Linked DNA regions of Schizosaccharomyces pombe. Changing the gene in region 1 together with any one later gene gives a genetic interaction. Each region holds a gene or a part of one and is shown on either strand. Other genes may lie near its edges.

Region 1 (4,809 bases):
TTATTGAAGCAAACATCAAGAAATGGAGACTCGCTCCTGCGGTTGGAAGCTTGGCTCCTCCTCCGTCGTATTCTACATCGCAGCCAACTATTAGTTGGGATGCAGCTAGTGAGTCTTCAGCGGGTACAACAACGCAGGGCGATACAAATAGACCCGACAAATCGAAAAATAGGTCACCTCCAATAAATTTTGATGGTACCTCGTATGATGCGGCTGGTAATGTTTTCAGTCCATCATCATCCAACAATCAAGCTTATCAAATGCACTCCATGCCTGCTACCGATGAAGTATAAGGAGTAATGTATAGCTTAGCACTAACAACCTTCACGCCAAAACCAAAGATCAAGTTGTGGAAATGTTTGTGCGTTGTGTTTCAAGTTAGTCCTAAAATCGAGAAATGCACTTTGTATATGAATTGAAGGGGATGTGTTGATGTTCAATGTATTTATTTTCTTTATAATAATTTCTTCAAAATTAGTTATAATTATTAATCTTAATTAAATTTACTCTATGTTTATTCGCTCAATTAATAAAAGGTTATTCACAATTTATTATGATTTTTCGTATAATGTTGCTATTGAGTCTATACTGTTAACATCAACCTTCATCGAATTCCGCTGGTGAGAAGTTTTAACGGAGGAATTCATAGGGTTGTCAATCCTGATAATGAAAGTGTAAAAGGAAATTTTCGAAAGCGCTTTTTTACATTTCTAATTTTGCGTAGTGTCATAAAATGCAATTCCTGGTAAAAACAAAGCCGCTTAATTATTAGTCTTGTTATCTTTTGCTGTAATAAAAGGAAATCTACCTTTTTATTCCAAAGGAACAAATAAAGCAATTCGATACTGCAGTGTGACATTCTTTGTGAGTAAAAAAAAAAGGGAGTAAAACAGAGAACGTATTCAAGTAATATTCTGAGAATTGTTTCTATTTCAAACTTTTATAGCAAGTTTCCAATATGCCTTTAGGTATAGACTTAATTGAAAAAAGACCGATCATTATCAAAGGGAAAATTGGGATATATTGCTAATTAAAATATCTACCTAAAGGCTGCTATGCACCTATGATGATTTCTCTCCATAGACCAACAAAAAGTTCAATGGAAAGCAATTTCAGCGGCACATACAAAAGATTCTTCAAATAGGTAATTTAGGAATGTTTCTTTTGATTATCTTGCATAAAGGAAAAGGAGATCATATTTTGAAAGCTCTTACAACGATTACCACCCTCCCTAACTGATGCAAACTGGTTCTCAGCAGCACTGACTGGAACTATCTAAGTACTCTATGAAAAAGTAAGAGTTAGTTTAGCATAATCAGATAAAATGACTGGGACTTACGAATCCTCAAAGTCCGATAAAGAACCAAGTTCATACGGAAATCTATATTACACGAGGTTCAGTTTTTTGTATGTATAATGAATTATTATTTTAAAAAACATATTAGTGTCCGATAGTTTACAATTGTTTGCTAGTCGGTCTCTTAAAGAGAAGGGCATAAACTTCTGCCGACATTGTTAAACAAGCAACAAAACTTCCCCTCAGAAATGTTAAACGATAAAAAAAGGAAACCTCTGGAATTATATAAAAAATAGCTCTCTCTCTTCTCGTTACGTGACATTCTTTAAGGGTGTATATTGAACCTTCGGAAAAATTGCTCTCATAAGGAAGTGATACATGTCAAACGTGTTTCATCAAAGTCGCATTTTTTTTCTTAATATCTTACTTAAAGCAGCAAAGCATAACTTCGTTCCTCTCCACTTAACGACTTCCATCCTTTTATTTATTCATAGCATACTTCTTCACCAAGCGGGCACATGAATAAGGATAATTAACACACTACACTATACCCCGAGTTTCTCCACATTTCGAGCATCGTTTATCGTACCCTAAATCTACGGTAGTAAATGTATGCTTGTAATAAATATGACGTCAACCGACATGTTTTTGTAGACTAGTGCATGCACCGGAGATCTGTAACTCTCCATAAGCCTAGCCATGCATGCAGCACTCGAAATCAAAGAAGCTGAATTTCAAACCGATCAAGTAGTAGGACTCGTAGAAAATTCTTTTACATTATATTCATTGGTATGAAAAACGAAAAATATTTTTTTTTTTGAAGAATTTCGACTAACGTTAACGAAAACAGGGACAAAATGTAAGAATTCAAACATTATGCATTGAGAGCCATGCTGACTTATTAGGGGGGTCCATTGGAGTCTTGCTGTAGCAGTCATTTGATTTCTGATGGCGCATTTCAAGAAATTATATCGCTGGATGGTGGAAGCCACCTATCGGCGTTGGTTGAGTTGATCCAGTCAAAACACCTGTCCGTCGATTCTTGGTCTTCCATCACCAAGTATGACAATTATACGGTGGAAAATGAATCATACGCAAAAGCCTGGCACCTTTCAGAGCAAAGGATTAAAACGTTTCTCATCACACACTGTCATTTAGACCACATCTATGGAGCCGTCATCAATAGCGCCATGTTTGGTCCTCAAAATCCTAGAACCATAGTTGGGTTAAACTATGTGATCGATACCCTAAAAAAGCACGTGTTTAATAACTTATTATGGCCTTCCCTCGACAAAGCCGGATTTATTAATTTTCAGGTGTAAGTAAATTCTTTCTCAATAGCTTCTGTCAAATGAAAATTTTTTCATTGTTTTAGTGAATAGGTTGAGGGTTGGGAAGGCAATGTTGAGTTTTGAAAATTTTTTATTTTCTTCATCTTAGTTGAAGAGATGTATGCTCGTCTTTTTTTCCTTCAAATCTATTTGCTGAACACACATTTATATATTTTGCATATATGTAAACTATCTGCTGACGCTTTGGTTGATTTGCATGGTTTCATGGTACTTGTGCAATTTTTTTTGTGAGACAGTGATATTATTTGAAAGATTGCAAAGATTGCAATAATAATTATATCTCTTTTTCTTTCACTGTTCTAATATCTTTTGTTCTTGTTCAAACAAGTTAATGAATTTAACTCTTATGCGAATTTGCTAAATCAACCCCATCGGCATTTCTCTTTCTCATTTGACAATGAGACTAACCTCTTTTTAGGGTTGAGCCTTCCATGTATACTAGTTTAACGACTACTTTGTCTATATTGCCCTTTCCCGTTAATCATGGCTCCTCTTTCGGTCAAGAGCTAAAGTCGTCTGCATTTTTATTTAGGAATAACCTATCCGACAGATACTTTTTGGCTTTCGGGGACGTCGAACCCGATATGGTAGCCTCAGAACCGCTTAACATTCATATTTGGAGAGCTTGCTCTAGTTTAATTGCTCAAAGAAAGCTTTCTCATATTCTTATCGAATGCTCCACTCCTGACATCCCTGATACTCTTTTGTTTGGTCATTTTTGCCCTAGACATCTAGTGAACGAGCTTTGTATACTCCAATCTCTGGTCCAGAGTTATGGCGTTATCATGCCTACCCTTACGTGTTTGCTCACTCATTTGAAATCACATCCTCTTCAGTCGGCGAATCCTGCCGATGTTATATTGGAGCAGTTAGAGTCGTTGTCTTCCAAAAGTTCTCTTTCAGTCACATTTAAAATCCTTCAGCGTGGTCAATTTTATAAATTTTAATAGCATCCCAGGGTCATGGTCATATATTCATTATATTTTTATTTTTTTTTTTTAATTTCTTTTAGGTTTCTCCATTTATTCGTTACGCCCTTTTATCCTTCCGCCGTTGCCGCATGTCTTTCTATTATTGAGAATTCTGTTGGAGGAATTTTGACTTTGTTGTTAATTATTGAATGCTAAAGCAATTAATTATTACCTTTTTTTATTTTTCATTACCAGTTCATCGTACCTCGCTTTGCTGGTTTACTCTCATTAGAATTTCACGCTTTTCTCATCGGACACTTTATTTTCAAAAATAGAATGCTTTTTCTTTGTTTGCCAATCTGCTTTACTTTTTAAATAGATTTCTAATTTGGTTTTTTGTTGTTGTTGACGAGGTTTATAGAACGATGGGTTAAAAGTCTTAACCAGATTATATACTTGAATAAATGGGTTATATTATATGACGATTTCTCTGTTCTAATATTGTTTACCTAGAAACAAGAGGAAGCATTCCTAAAGGGTAGCGGGTATATTAGTTGAGTGATGAATCAATATAGGTTTGCTCTGCTTTTTTCGATTGGATAGACTAGGAAGTATTCTGGAGGGTATGAAAGGAACAAAGTGTTCTATTACAGTTGGTAATGGTCGACTCTTGATTACGATGTTTAATTTGGGATAGAAAAATGATTATTATTTCTAGTTATCGCATATGATCGTAGGAAAAGCACATTACAAAGGGGAAACGAACCAAAACGGATGCAATGATCATAAAGGGCGCTGGAATAGTAAATTAATATAACAAGCTAGTATTCTTCTTCTTTCCAAGTTGCATTCCTTTCGCTTTGGGAGCAGAAGAAGCCTTTGCTGCAGCGTGATAAGACTCCATGGCAGATTCGTCTTCAACATTAGACGTAGCAAAGGTTGTATTAACTGTTTGATACCCAATGGATTCATACGCATCTGCACTGGGAAGATTCTGAGCCGCCCGTCTTGCAGCTTCTTTCTTTTGTAATTCAAGTTGTTTGATGCGGCGCTTCCTTTCTTCAGTTGCTTCAATTTCTTTGTTCTAGAAAGTGCATTAGTAAAACCATACAAAAAAAATTTCGATGACTCCACCCCTATGCTTCAACACGTACTCTTGATACAATTTCTTGAATTTTCTCTTCGTGACTCTCCATTTCCAAATAAGTTTTGATCTGTGTCAAAGATACATTGTCTCTGTAGCCAAGGC
Region 2 (7,305 bases), on another chromosome or scaffold:
TACAATATTGCCCATAGCGTTCTATAACTTCTGGTGGATCAATCGCAATCATTTTTCATTTCAAAGAATTACTAATTGGGTCTATAGAAAAATCATTTCTTTTTATTTCAGACTATTTTGTTTGTCATTGAATTTCCTACATTAGCTGCTCTGGTTTATTGTATCATTAACTTTTAACATAAAGAACCTCAACAAGTCATGCTAATTTGACATTATAGAATGTAAGTATATTAAATTATGATAAACTATTTATTGCAAAAGCAGGATGGATAGTACATTATAGAGCATAGAAATTGTTGCAAAGAAATCCACAGTTTATTATCTAAGATATTTACTTTATGGAGATATTAATTTAGAAGGCTCATAGCCGTATTTTTTTGCATTATAAGCCATTTGTTTCACTGGCTTTATATAGTCAATATGCGACTCATAAATTCATTAGAGTTATTCTCTCGCGAAAAATCATTGAAATGTGGGGCCTGATCATTGTTGTAGATTTAAGCAACATATAACCGAAGCTAATGAGAACAAATTGAAGCAGAGTTTTTCTGAATACCAAATACATTTTTGATACTCCAGGGTTGCAGAGTTTTTGCCTTCAGAGCCCATTGCAAGTATGTTCGGTTTCTAAGGGTTTCCTCACTTCATACATAGTTAGATTTGTTCCTCAATTCTTAATTTTTCGCTGACTTCGTGACGCTTTCTACTATAATCATGTTACAAACTAATATATAAACAAACTAGTGACCTTTAGGATTAAACGAGAGGCAAGCACAAACCACTTGTTCCATTCAAGTTACTGCAATATTTTTATGGAAGATATTAGAAAATTAGCAGAATACTCACCAAGTTTGTCACAATGCAAGACGATGGCAAAAGATCCTTAAGCTCATTCCATATTAAAAATGTCGTAAGTTAGTAAAATTTAAAAATAGTCAAGTCCTTCATTTTGAAGTTTTTTGTTTATTACTCGACCAAAAACAAATTGCCTTGCAATCGTTACCTTTTATGCTTTAGCACCTATAATTATCCTGTAGACAGAAATTACCTTTTATATAGCAAACATTATTATACCCAAATAATATTTAACATTGAAATCTTCATAAATAAATGAATAAAGTATGGTAAAATATTATTTACATCCCCCTATACAGCTATATGGCTCAACCTTTATACAGTAATAAAATGTCTAAGTAGTCCTGCATGTTATGATAGAAACACCCAAAGCCTTCACTCTAAACTTCAAGGAATTTACTGCTTGCTTTTGTCGTACACACTCCTATAGTAAGGCATCTTATATTCCATATGGATCCTCGACACTGGGGATGTAAGTACTGACTTGTAGTTTGAAATGGCAAGTCGGTCGTCTATATCGACATGATTTTATAACTAAATTCCTGTAAAAAAGAGAAACAAAAATGATATTTTAATGCATAAAACAATTTCCCGTTAGAGTATTTTTAATTATCAGTATTCCAAAAAAAAGATTTCTAGTCTTCAAATAAACCAATGCGTGATAAATACTGGAATTGGGGAATATAAAGATCCAAGTTAAATTTAATTGATTTTGTAAAAGCACTAAGTTCTGTAGGTTGACTTTTTAATTGTCTAGCTAACGTAAGTTTGGTAAGAGATGCTGGTTTGTTTACACTAGATATACGCTGACACTCAGATTTCACCTACAACTTCATGCTAAAAAGGAAATGCGAAATTGTAAACGGAACTGAGTTATTGATTATCGTTACTAGATGCTGAAATGCTAGAATTAAAAACAAATGTTATTCAAGACCCTGAATTAAAGGATTCATTAGATTTGCAAGAGAATGATCGGGTTGAAATCATTGGAGATGCTGTGCATTATATTGTGAATGACCATTTAAATCGTGTATTTAATTATACCGTAGATCAACAAAAGATACATGCTGCCCTTATTACTACATTTGCATCTGGAAAAAAGGCAATTGTTGTGATTCTGGACGACATTGGATATGTATACTATGTGGGCGACAATAATAATGATTCTTATATTATAAACGTTCCTTTTTCAACAGAAAGCGCATGGAGTTCACCAAGTGGACTATATCTTCAGCGTCATCGTTCGAGCGATGAGAATCTGAATACTGACTTGCCTCATATTTTTTGTCTAAACGATCCTTTAGATGAACTTACGTTAATAAAATTTGACGGAAAAAAAATACTATCTCTGTTTGATTCAATCGTTTATGTCGTGGGAGAGATCGTCGTAACACATAATAAAAAAGAAAAAAAATTGAGTTTTTGGAGGAGTCGCTTTATTGATCCAGAGTCAGACCAGTCAATAAAAAGCTCACGTAACAGAAGAAGGGAAAGCTCTTTTTCTCGTGAAAAGAATCCTGACTTAACTCGCTCTGATTCTATCCATTATACCGCCAATACTCGTCTTTCTGAAAAATTCGAGGAACAAGGACTCGCTTATTCGACCATATTTTCTCACATAGAGTCTTTTCCTATCACCGGAAGTACTTCGTTTGATTCAATCCTTGGAAATGGTGTTTTGGTCATCACCACTTTAGTGAAAGAGCTTGAAAAAGGCTACATGATGTTGTTTCGCCTTGTTCGTGACAGATCTCCTTACTTCTTAGATTCGCTTCAACTACATGCAATAAATTTGAGTGCTATTAAATCTAAGCATTTGCAAAAAATTGTTGTTCTGTCTTCAAAGGGGAAGGTGAGTCTCGAGTCTCCAATGTCGCCATCTTTGCCTATTGAGGGTACCTTTCGTTCATTTCGTGTGCATGGTGCCACACTTTACTTAGAGGACACCGATGGAGTGCAGAGGTATATATCTCTAGATAACAGAGCATCCAATAGCTTGGTAAAATGGTGTTTAAGTGTTATTCGTTATGTTTTGCCCTTGCGTGAATATGAAATTTTTTATACTGGACATCTTTACGCGCTTTTTGCTTTTAAGCTTAGCCATGATGAGGCTTTCATATCTTCAATACTCGCCTGTTTCACTTTCTTTTCTCGAGATAAAGTTCATGTTGAACCAATTGAAGATTGCAATGAAGCTTACAGTCTGTCCTCTAAGTTTCATTTTAAAAAAGAAATACTTATTGCTTCTCAGCTCTCATCTCATCTTGATTACTCAACATTCAAAAATTACTTGATGCCCTTAGCTATTACCTTACATTTTATATCTGAAGAATTGCGGTTGGATTCGGTTGTAAAGCCTCGTAAAGATCAGCTTGTAGCTTTATTACTTCAAATCACCACGTGGTTGAAGTGGCCACGGTATTGCGAGTATTATAACTTTGATATCGCTGAAACATTTCTATCTATACCCTTATCGATTCAAGTTGATGTTGAGGAACCTGTTGGTCCAACATCGATTTTACAGTGGATTATTGAATGTTTAAGGTCGCAATCTACAGTACCTTTTTATGGCTTGGAAAGTTATGGGCTACCACATTCTTGCTCTACTATGTTTCCCCAAACCCTTTCTTTAATGCAGTTACTCGATTGCTTGCTAAATCCTAATATGACCCTTCAAAACTTAGTTGAAGAAATGGTACGGTTAGGAATTTCAAGAAAGAGGTGTGAAAGATACCCATTTGGAATTTTATGCATTATTTTTACAGTACTCGAGATTGCCGCTGAAGAGTATTCTCCGAATTGGGAAAGCGAAGAGCTTCGATTAGTCAATCGCCTTGACGTTGATTCATTCTTACATCCAAAGACACCTAAATGGGTTTTTAATAAGCAGGATCAAGAAGTCAAAGAAATAAAAGCACTCACTAGTACAGTTACCGATTCTACACTTGTTGACACGCAGTCGTTTCATCCTTATAAGGTTGTAACGGATATGATTTTTAGAGAGGATCGACGACTGGCAGAAGTGAATAAACTTTTAAATTATTCAAGTCAAATCACCATAATGACTGAACACTTTGATGTCGACTTGAGTTCAGTACCAATGCAACAAAAAGTTGCTCAATGCATTTGCGTTAGAACATTGTCCGTGCCAATTGGAGCGGGTATGCTTACGTATGGTAGTAAAAATCCTTTACCTACGGAAAAGGTCACTCCACGATTATTTAATTTTACATTGCACTTGCATCCTGGAACTTTAATTATACAACCTAATAAAGAGTTCGTAACACAGGAATTAACCGAGTGGCCAGAGTTTAATGTTGGCGTTGCATTAGGATTATCGATATCTAAGTTTTCAAAGGAAATAAACACTAGTTGGATTATGTTCAATCGACCTGAAACTTTGACTGCTTACCATGCGGGATTTCTTTTTGGTCTAGGGCTAAACGGTCATTTAAAGGCCCTTGCTACCTGGCATTCTTTTATTTATCTTACTAGCAAGCATGATACAACCAGTATAGGCCTTTTACTTGGACTTGCATCCTCGTATTTGGGGAGTATGGATGCAAAGGTTACAAAATTGCTAAGTGTGCACATTTCAGCATTACTGCCAGTTGGATCTAATGAATTGAATATTTCACCATTAACTCAGACTGCAGGAATTCTAGGAATTGGTTTATTATTTCATGATTCGTGTCATAGACGCATGTCTGAAGTGACCATGGAAGAGATTTTGGCTTCTAATGAAAGCGAACTAAAGAATGAAGGCTATAAGTTAGCTGCTGGATTTTCTCTTGGTTTAATTAATTTAGGGAGAGGATCTAATCTTCCAGGCATGTCTGATTTAAAACTCGTTTCAAGGCTACAAGTGGGAATATCTAGTCAGGCTACATTTCAGTCTTTAGAAGCCGGTTCTCCCGGGGCCATTATGGCTTTGACTATGATATATATGAAGACTAATGATTTGGAAGTTGCGAAAAAAATTGATATTCCTAAATCGCGATATCTTCTTGATTTCTATCGTCCAGATCTAATACTTTTGCGAGTTGCCGGTAAAAACTTAATTATGTGGGATGAAGTCAAAGCAGATTATGAATGGGTGAAATATCAAATTCCTGATATAATGCTCTCACAATTTGATTTACAGGAAAAAAAGGTTCTCTCTTCTGACGACTTGCTGCTTTATAATGTCTTAGCAGGGATTTGTTTTTCTTTAGGTTTAAGGTTTGCTGGAACGGGTAATCCGAAAGCCAAGGAAATTCTCATCAACTTTTTAGATAGCTTCATTCGGTTGTGTCATCTGCCTGCTAAAACACACGATGAAAGAGTAACTGCAGTGACTGTAATTCGCTGTACACAAATTGTCGCTTTGTCTTCTTCTTGTGTTATGGCGGGTTATTGTGATCTAGATGTTTTGAGAAGGTTAAGAGTACTACATGGGAGAATGGAGCCTGTGAACTACGGGGCTCAAATGGCTACTCATATGGCGCTCGGAATTCTTTCGCTAGGTGGAGGAAGGTATAGTTTGTCTCGCAGTAATTTAGCAATCGCGGCTTTGTTAATATCATTTTATCCGCAATTTCCCAGGACTACTCAAGATAATCGTGCACATTTGCAAGCTGCTCGAAATTTGTGGGCTTTAGCTGTGGAAGAACGTTGTATTATCCCGAGAAATCAAGATACCAAACAGCCATGCATAGTGCCATTAAATGTTGTTCAAAAAAGCGGCGCAGTTCAAAAACTAGAAGCGCCTATACTTTTGCCGCCGTACGATAGCATTAGTTCAGTGTCGACGTTGGGTGATAAGTATTGGAATTTAAAAATTGATTTGGACAATAACAGTGATTACCGTGAACTATTAAGGGAATCACAAACACTGACACTGATGCCTTATGACCGAACAAGTTCAAAAGAAGAGCCACTTAATCTATTCCCTAAGCTTAAAGATACCTCAAGCCCACTTTGGAACTTGGTAAAAACAAGCAGGTTGTTCCAAAGCTCGAATAGCCCCTTAAACGTTGCATCGTTACAAGAATCAAATAATAAAACTTCTCTAGGCGTTAAATTACTCCTGTCTATGGACTTTGATAATTTAACTAGAGACCGTTTATTAAGTTTGCAAATACTGTTACAATTTTTTGAGTCTTGTTGGACTGGTGTGCTCTTGAATAAGTTTCACTCCCGTCAATATCTTTTCCTTTCTCGTGATTTGGTAGAAGATTTGAGTTTGAGAGTATGGGAGTATGTGTATTCTCATAATCATAATGAAGAATCTGTATAATTATGAACTACGTTTATTAATTATATGATATGCTAATGGGCTGAATGGTTTCCAAAAATCTTTTCCATCATATCAATCCTTCAAAAGGAAAATTGAAGTTTAAAAAAATAGAACCCCTTAAAATTAACGACTTGTATAAATACCTTAATGTCTCAATTAATATACAAGGTGGCATATCCAATGCAACACTTTTTTCACGATCATGATTAATAGCTATCTTCAAATAATGGTTTGTTAAAAGGAAATCGAAGTTAATAATAAATTGTTAATTGGAATACTGATGCTCAAACTATTTCACTGGGCAAAGTAAAAAGAATATTATTGCGACAACTACTAAGCACCCATGGTTCTTCAAGGGGTAATACCGCCTGTCTCAAGGCGCCGTTGAAAATAGATTAGCTTTTTTATCCTTTTTCTATATCTTTTCCCTCCTTTCGTTAATTAATTGATTTAAGCATGACACTTCGAGCTACTAACTAACACTATATCGTTGTATGCTGTTTACATAAGTTCTTGATGTTCGAATCTATGACTTTCGAGTAACGGTTCCAAATATTATAATTTAATGAATTACACCCGATAATTAATACACTGTATTAAACCATCTAAATCCACCTGACGAATTCAATCTTAAAATTTAAATAGAAGTCTTTAAATCCGACATGCACTGAGATGCTGAAGTTTTGTAACGATCTACATTAAATTCCCCTATTATAATTTACGTACGATTATTCGCCTCATTAAAAATTCCTTCGTTTTTGAGGGGTAGTAAGGGCATGACTTCAACCTTGCATCCTATGACACAACACTTCTTTCGTTAGCAAAACACAAATTGAAGCTTGCGAACGCATAGGAAGTGTGAATAGCTCGTTTCTCGAAAGCCGCTAATTCTACAAAAGCTTTCTGTATCAAAAAGACTTGTAGTTTTACTTAATACACCTTTGGTTCTGCGCTAAGAGTGAAAGGCTCAGTATTGTTGTGAAAACCGTGAATCTGTAACGTCGGTTTATGTTAATTTGTATTTTTGAACGCTTGCTATAACTATTGTTATCTATTTTTGTCTGCTATAGATTATCTTTGAAGGACTCAGAGTCGATTTAGCTTATCTTCTTATTTTTTGTCTCAGGTGTATCGAATTATCGTTCGTGTTCATTTGTACTTTTGGAATAACA
Region 3 (7,754 bases), on another chromosome or scaffold:
TAAGGATTTTATCTGAATCTATCAAAACTTATACTTTGTTATGTGCACATGATTCACAGAAGCGTATTGGGGGTTCAATTCAAGAGTTTGAATTTATTAGTTTCTGCCAACAAAAAAGGATATTTGGGCGACTATTGCCCTCTCTAGATTCACCGGTTACCAAATCTATTACTGATGATAGAGTTGAGCCGTTACTTGTGAAGGATACATTTCGAGAATTCGCCGAAGCCAGTGTCTCTGGTTTATTATCATGTGACGAATCGTTTCACTACTTGACGCAATTATACTATACTGCCGATATAGTTCGAAACTTATGGATTCTTTTGTCACAAAGAAACTCTTTACTGAAATGTATGGAATCAGTTGAATTTGAAGCCTTTGACTATGAGCAGCTAAAGGGGTTTGAGCACTTAGTTATCCAAATTTGGAAAAGTCTTCGTGTCGACGGAGCAGGATTAATCAATTTTGATTGTTGTACGGAGGATGATCTAAATAATCCTCATCTTTTGTTTACACTGTATAAACTATTGGAAAGGTTTTCTCTAATCTTCCTTCGAAAATGTGCTTTGCTTTGGTATTGCCGCTATGGAGTTTCATTTGAGACGCAACCGAATTTAAACTTTCAAAATTCAGAATTATCACGTTTACAAACAAAAATGCATATTCCAGGTGTTATTGAATTATCTAATCATCTTTGTCTTACGGCATCTTCCACAGAATGGAGCCTTATAAAGCACTGGTGTAATTTCTTTACAGAGACTGGTCCTCTATGCGATTTTCCTCGCGCTTATTACCCTGGAATTTATGAACTAGTTTCTTTACCGTATGAATTGGATAAAGTCTTTGAGTTACTATTGGCCAGGCGATGCTCGAAATGTTTAACTGAACCTATGGAACCAGCGATATGTTTATTTTGTGGGAAGCTCTTATGCTTCCAAAGTCATTGTTGTTCCTTTAATGGTATTGGAGAATGTAATCTTCATATGCAACAATGCGCTTCTGACATTGGAATTTTTCTTATTGTCAAAAAATGCGCTATTCTCTACCTCAATCCACCTGTAGGAAGCTTCTCTGTAGCTCCATTTTTGGATGCGTATGGAGAGACAGATTTGGGATTGCGTCGTGGCCGCTCTCAATATCTATCACAAAAACGTTATGATGAAACAGTACGAACGATGTGGCTAAACGGATCTATTCCTTCTTATATTGCTCGACAACTGGATGCGAATCCAGACACCGGAGGTTGGGAAACACTTTAGGCTAAACAATGGGAGTTTACGTGATCTAAGCTACTAATTTTTTTAATGCTTCAAACACCTTGATTATTTATTAGGATATATATACCAAAACTTGACATTTTATCATTTAATTCATATTCATTGACCTGTAAATATAGGTTACTTTACAAACATTTCGTCTCATTCAAACAGTCAATCGTATTGCCCTTATATTTAAGGGGCGAGTATCATTTAAGGATAAAATTAGATGAAAGTTTCATGAATACTTTAAAACTCAGTTTGAAACTTTGATAAAAGAAGCTTTTTTAACTCATCAGTCAAATCCAATGTTAATTAATGGAAGGAGTAATGGAAAGCCTTCAAAAAAAAAAATAAAAAAATCATAGTAATTAATTCAAGACCGCCTTCATCTAGTATATTCAGTAGATTTGTTTACAAATCGATGAAATAGTGACGTACGCAGTATTCGAACGCGCCTTACAGTTTCTTCCTCACTAATTCACTGAGAACACATAGTGTTGGAAATTACCACTCTGGAATATAGTTTAGAGTTAGGAAGATACATGAGGTGTTGGAACCCAAACCCTTTCTTGTTCTAAACCTAACAAGTGATATAATCAGACAAAGAAACGCTGGTGTTGGAACTAGGATAATAGAGCAAATACTAGTTCTATAAATTCAATATTCCTTCCTTGGATAGGGATATAACCATTATTGAATTTTCCTTGTCCAAAATTCGCGTATAGTGGTATTTTTGAAACGAAGGTGCTACAGATTCTTAGGAAGGATGCAAATTGCCACTAATGGATCAAAGCAAGCGATTGTTAAAGTCAGCTGTTCCAAACCCGCCTGAACATTTTAAAACAGGTATATCCTGGCTTGATGACCTTGACGAGAAGGACGATGACTCAGCGACGTCTGTGAACTATGATATACCAGAAATAACCGAAGCAAATCTCTGTAATGACTCCCATGAAGCTCTTTCACCTTGCACTCAACCTGTCGGTAATTCTGGACGACCTGTCGAAGCTTTTAAGACCTATCCTAGCACTCCTGCAGTACCTAGCAAAAGCGTGCTTTTCCATTTTTATGAACCGGATGAGAACTTTAGCTTATCTGACACGGGACGTACTAAATCGGATACCGCCTTAGCTGCAAGAGAAAGCTCTGAAAAGTCTGAAGTGCCACGTGATACCCGTAGTGCTGGGATAAAGCCATACAAAGAAAATAACTCGTCTAATTGTGCAATTTCTAAAGAAGCAGGCCTTCGAAGACTTATTGATAAGGACAGAGAATCTTTCGACAAAAACCTGAATCAGTCATTTACCAATCTAACTTTTCCAGAACCGATTTCTGATGACAGTGACAGTGTGGAGTTTCAACGTGATTCTCTTAATAACAATTGGCCAGCTAGTTTGGAAGGTAGCATACACGAATTACCCAGGAATAGTGATGATGATGGAATCCCTGCTTCTGCGGCTCATATCCTGGACCTCGATTATCATAGAGATAGTTATGATAGCCCTTGGAAGAAGTTTTTACCGTACCCTTCCATTTTATCCGATGATTCTTGGAAAGCTCCGGAGAGTTGGGGAACTAGTTTGCCCACTGAGGCTATTCCAAAGCAGGTTTTTACTACTAGATTTTTTGCTCGTCCTTCCCTGGGCAATAGAAAGAAAGAGTTCTTTCTTCGAGTATACCGTGATGATCGAACTTCCGTATCATTCATTTGCCCTATTGGCATACAAACTCATGAAGTGATTAAGCTGTTAGCAAGGTTATTTTTTCTTCCCTCGTCTGCTAATTTTTACCTCTTATTAATCCAATTCAATACAGAACGTATTTTGTTGCCTCATGAACAGCCATGCATTATATTTGAACGATTATTGAGTTTGTTTGGGTGTAAGGTAACTTCCGATGAAGAAATAAATGAAGAAGATAATTATAGTGTTGCTAGATTGGTGTTTACTACGATGGATATTGGAGCGGATGTATTGCGTAAATTCTCTGAAAAAAAAATTACTGCGAACCTTGACATTAGTAGGTCAAACCTGGAGGTTATTCCGGTAAAGATCTATCCCTATGCCCATGAACTTATCTCGTTGAATGTTTCGCACAATTTATCGCTGGACCTGCCTTTAGATTTCATGGAGCGCTGTGTCAAGCTTAAGCGGTTAGACATTTCCAATAATTTAAGGTCTCCAAGAGGAAAACCGATTACTGCTCTTCGCCAATTGGAAGTTTTGAACATGTCTCGTAACGATATATATGAATTGGATCCTCTTATATTCTCTGGGCTTAGTCGAAATTCTCTGAAAGAATTGAATATAGCTAATAATAAGCTGTTCTTCCTTCCCCATTCTACTAGATATTTGGTGAATCTAACCTATCTTGATTTATCCTACAATAATTTTGTGACTTTCCCTTTAATAATTACTGAGTTGTCCCAATTGGAGACTCTTAACTTTTCGCATAATTTATTGTCACAGATATCTAGCAAAATTGGCTCTCTTGTTAAATTGAAGCATCTATATCTACAATTTAATGATTTATCTAATCGGCTTCCACAGGAAATAGGCTTGCTAAAAAATCTGGAAACAATTGACCTTAGTTATAATGCGATTACTAACATCGCCAGTTTATCTGAATGTCCGAAACTAAATAGCATCAATGTAGCTTGCAATTTACTTTCTTTTTACGAATATTCCAATCCGTCAGCTACATTCATCGACTTCTCGTTTTGTCCACTGACTACAATTGATCCGGCATTTAGCTATAGCAATCTCGTCTACTTTGATATCTCACATGCGAAGCTTATTGGGCTCAAGGATTCTGTCATTGAAACTTTAGTAAATGTAGAAACAGTGAAAGTGAATTACAACCACTTTACTAGCATTTCCGATGCAATTTCTGCTATGCAAAATTTGAAATATTTGTCTTGCACGAACTGTGAAATGTCTTATGTTTCACCAAACCTTGGCAAATTAAAGCATTTAGTTCACCTGGATTTACATGCAAATAATATCAAAATATTCCCTGAGGAAGTATGGCAAGTCTCTTCACTAAAAGTTGTTAACCTGTCTTCCAATATCCTGGAGAAAATCAAGTTACCAGTTGCAACGTCAAAAAAATTAACTAGGACAATTAGCCAATTAAAAATCATGCGTACTTTATCAGGAAATCCGGTATCGAGCCTCTCCTCCCAAGAATTTGTTATGCCTACCGTTGAAGAATTATACTTGGTGGACAACAGATTGGGCAATGACTGTTTTACGGCTTTAGAATACTTTAAGTGTTTAAAAGTCTTAAATTTATCTTACAATTATTTAACGGAAATTCCAAGCAAGTTTTTCCAAAATTTTTCTGATCTTAAACACCTTTTTGTGTCAGGAAATGAGCTTGCAAATCTTTCCATTTCCAGTACAGCGCAGGTCCTACTTGAAACTTTGTACGCGAATGGAAATCGTCTTTCCTCTTTTCCTAAAAATGAAGCTTTGTCTAAAAGTTTAAGATTTTTGGACATAAGTACCAATAATCTGCAGAATTTAGCAGTAGAAAAAGCTGAAAAGAAGAGTTTAACTAAACTTCCTCAATTGGAATACCTTAATCTATCTGGTAACACATGGTTTCGATTCTCTGAGCATGAAGATACAAACTTTACAAAATCATATTTGAAGAATTTAAAGTTTTTGAGCATCATGGATTTGAATACAAAATTTTCTAATGCGCCTTCTGATGTTCTAAACCATTTTATTCAACGCAACTCTCCTCAACCTAACATTTTGAGGTATGGAGTATGTGGATACCTTTCTCGTTCTATTCCCGTCATCTCTGCATGTGAATTAGTTGTTAACAACTTTTTGCATCCTCAATCATCTTTATACTGTGTGCTTGACAGTGACATCAGCGCTGGAAAAAACAACCGGGTTTTAAAATTTGTGTACGACAATTTGGCTTCATGCCTAGCGCATGAGATTAATGCAGCAGATTCCTCTTCTGAACAAATTTGTAACGCTTTGAGAAGAGGATTTCTTCGTTTAAACAAAAAATTAGGAAATGTCATTCATTATGACCTTAGGAAGTCTTCAGAAGGAGACGTGGATAGTAATTACGTTACCACTATGAATATTTCAGAAAAGGGTTATTCTATGGACAGTTCTTGCTTGGATATAGGAGTTAGCATTATCTTAGTGTACGTCAGGGATACAAGAGCTTTCGTTGCCAATGTGGGCACATCAATGGCTATAATGTCTACGAGAAATGATTCGGAACCTACAACTTTAAGTGTCATGCATGATGTGTACAATAGGGATGAAATTCGTCGCATAGTTGATTCATGTGGTTTCATATCTGGTGAAATAAAATCGACCACTACACGTGCTATTGGTCGTTTGTCTCAATTTCCTGGCGTCCAAGCAGTTCCCTATGTTAATGTGCAGTACTTATCTGAACTAAACGAATTTATCATTCTAGCAAATCAGGAATTTTGGAGCGTATTATCAAAACGCACAGTAATTGACGTTGTTCGTGCCAACAGACATTCTCCTCTATTAGCCTCTACGAAGCTACGTGACTATGCTATTGCATATGGTGCAGAAAAAAATGTTCTTGTAGTTATCGTCGAATTGAACGGATTGTTTGAAGAGAATTCCCTTAATTTCAACCAACTACGGGGGGATGAAAAAACTTTAGCAATTTCTGAAAAGAACGATAATATGTCATTTGTCCAAGATTTACCCGATGATTCTTCTTTAGCACGAATGAATAGAGAAGTCTCTCCCCCGAAAGGTTGTATTGCCATGGTTTTTACTGATATTAAGAATTCCACATTATTGTGGGAAAGACATCCTATTGCAATGAGATCTGCGATCAAAACTCATAATACTATTATGCGTCGGCAACTCCGTGCAACTGGAGGCTATGAAGTAAAAACCGAAGGAGATGCGTTTATGGTTTGTTTTCAAACAGTTCCTGCTGCATTACTTTGGTGTTTTTCAGTACAATTACAGTTACTTTCGGCAGATTGGCCCAACGAAATAGTTGAGTCAGTGCAAGGACGGTTGGTACTCGGCTCAAAAAATGAGGTGTTATATCGAGGGCTTAGTGTTCGAATTGGTGTCAATTATGGTGTAACCGTGAGTGAACTAGATCCCATCACTAGACGTATGGACTATTACGGGCCTGTAGTAAACAGAACATCTAGGGTTGTATCAGTCGCTGATGGTGGTCAAATTGCTGTTTCTGCTGAGGTGGTATCTGTATTGAATCAGCTTGATTCAGAAACAATGTCATCAGAGAAGACGAATGTCAACGAAATGGAAGTTCGTGCTCTTAAACAAATCGGTTATATTATCCATAACCTTGGAGAATTTAAGTTAAAAGGTTTGGATACTACTGAAATGATTTCATTGGTTTATCCTGTGCAATTGCAAGGAAGACTGGAGAGATTGATAAAGAGCCGAAGTTTGGGAACACCCACAGCCCTCCCGGAAACTCAGACTTATACTCCCGTTCGTAGTAGAAGCAACAGCTTGCGACCCATGTTAGCAAGATTGAGTGATTCAAAATCTGTCCATGGAGAGGAGGGTGGTTCTGGGAAGAGATCGGTTTCATCCTTGCGCAACGTATCACCATCAGAGAGTACTGGTGGATATGAAGGTTGTATTTTTGATGACCAACAGTATCAATTACTTTATGAACTTTGTGAGCGTCTTGAAGACCATGCCGCTATACTGCATGGGTTTCCTGAACCACCGCCTTGCGATACCGGTCTGGCAGCTCCCGTAAACCAGGCCGAGGAGTATTCATTGTTCTACCGTCTGACTTTGCGTATCGAGAATACTATTTATTGTGTCAGTCAAATGCTTGGACACACTGGCTAAATGAATGCATATAATGACTGCTATATTTAAATAATGTTTAACCCCATAAATAGTTTATATATATATATTTATTTTTTGTATATATAATTTGCATATTTTTAATAAAATTTTTTTTTTTTTTGCTATACCCTAAAGTTGGAATTATGGAATACCAAATTAACGTACGTGTTTCGAGGCAAATCAACTTTTATTTACTATTAGTAAACAATAAGAAACTGAACAACGGAACGACAGTAGACTGATACAAAAGTAAAAAAAAAGAAAAATTGTATTAAAGAAATACGAAATAAAATAATTTTCATGCAAAATGGTATAGGAGTAAAAAAACACAATGGGGGAAACTCGGTATAACACTTGATAACAATGTAAACCCCAAATAAAGATAAAAAAAAATGCAAAATAGAAGAAAAATGAAAAAGAAATCGTAAGAGTAAGATCGTAACTAAACTAAAAATACAGCAAAAAAATTTGGAAAGAATGAAGCAATAAAAATACTAAATAAACAAAATTGGAATCAAAACACTTGACAGCCCGGTATAAAAAAACTTGAGAAATGAAAGATAGAAAAAAAATAAGGAAAAAGACGGAGCTTCAACAATAGTAGTCTAAAGCCTAGAATGACGAGAAGATGTCT

The links.
Region 2: of cgs2 (region 1) and cut4, extra expression of one rescues a mutant of the other (dosage rescue), as found in Schizosaccharomyces pombe (one study listed by BioGRID).
Region 3: of cgs2 (region 1) and cyr1, a mutation in one rescues a mutant of the other (synthetic rescue), as found in Schizosaccharomyces pombe (2 studies listed by BioGRID, with this or other methods).

Annotation. Positions count from the first base shown.
Region 1 is NC_003421.2:1,809,819-1,814,627, reverse strand, and holds cgs2 (dual-specifity cAMP/cGMP phosphodiesterase Cgs2), read left to right. Parts: upstream 1-1,984; 5' UTR 1,985-1,996; coding exon 1,997-2,086; exon of another isoform or gene 2,087-2,147; coding exon 2,148-2,156; exon of another isoform or gene 2,157-2,202; coding exon 2,203-2,615; exon of another isoform or gene 2,616-3,067; coding exon 3,068-3,596; 3' UTR 3,597-4,291; downstream 4,292-4,809. Other genes in the region: SPRY domain membrane protein, specificity factor required for ubiquitination Ear1, read left to right, coding at 1-293; coatomer delta subunit Ret2, read right to left, coding at 4,369-4,644, 4,715-4,809.
Region 2 is NC_003423.3:389,233-396,537, forward strand, and holds cut4 (anaphase-promoting complex platform subcomplex scaffold subunit Apc1), read left to right. Parts: upstream 1-1,677; 5' UTR 1,678-1,756; coding exon 1,757-6,133; 3' UTR 6,134-6,805; downstream 6,806-7,305. UniProt on the Schizosaccharomyces pombe protein: Component of the anaphase-promoting complex/cyclosome (APC/C), a cell cycle-regulated E3 ubiquitin-protein ligase complex that controls progression through mitosis and the G1 phase of the cell cycle.
Region 3 is NC_003423.3:2,817,967-2,825,720, forward strand, and holds cyr1 (adenylate cyclase), read left to right. Parts: upstream 1-1,835; 5' UTR 1,836-2,041; coding exon 2,042-7,120; 3' UTR 7,121-7,254; downstream 7,255-7,754. Other genes in the region: N-end-recognizing protein, UBR ubiquitin-protein ligase E3 Ubr1, read left to right, coding at 1-1,259; SPOM_SPBC19C7.04C (uncharacterized protein), read right to left, coding at 7,726-7,754. UniProt on the Schizosaccharomyces pombe protein: Acts in glucose-induced cAMP signaling by catalyzing the synthesis of the second messenger, cAMP to activate PKA signaling and repress sexual development and gluconeogenesis.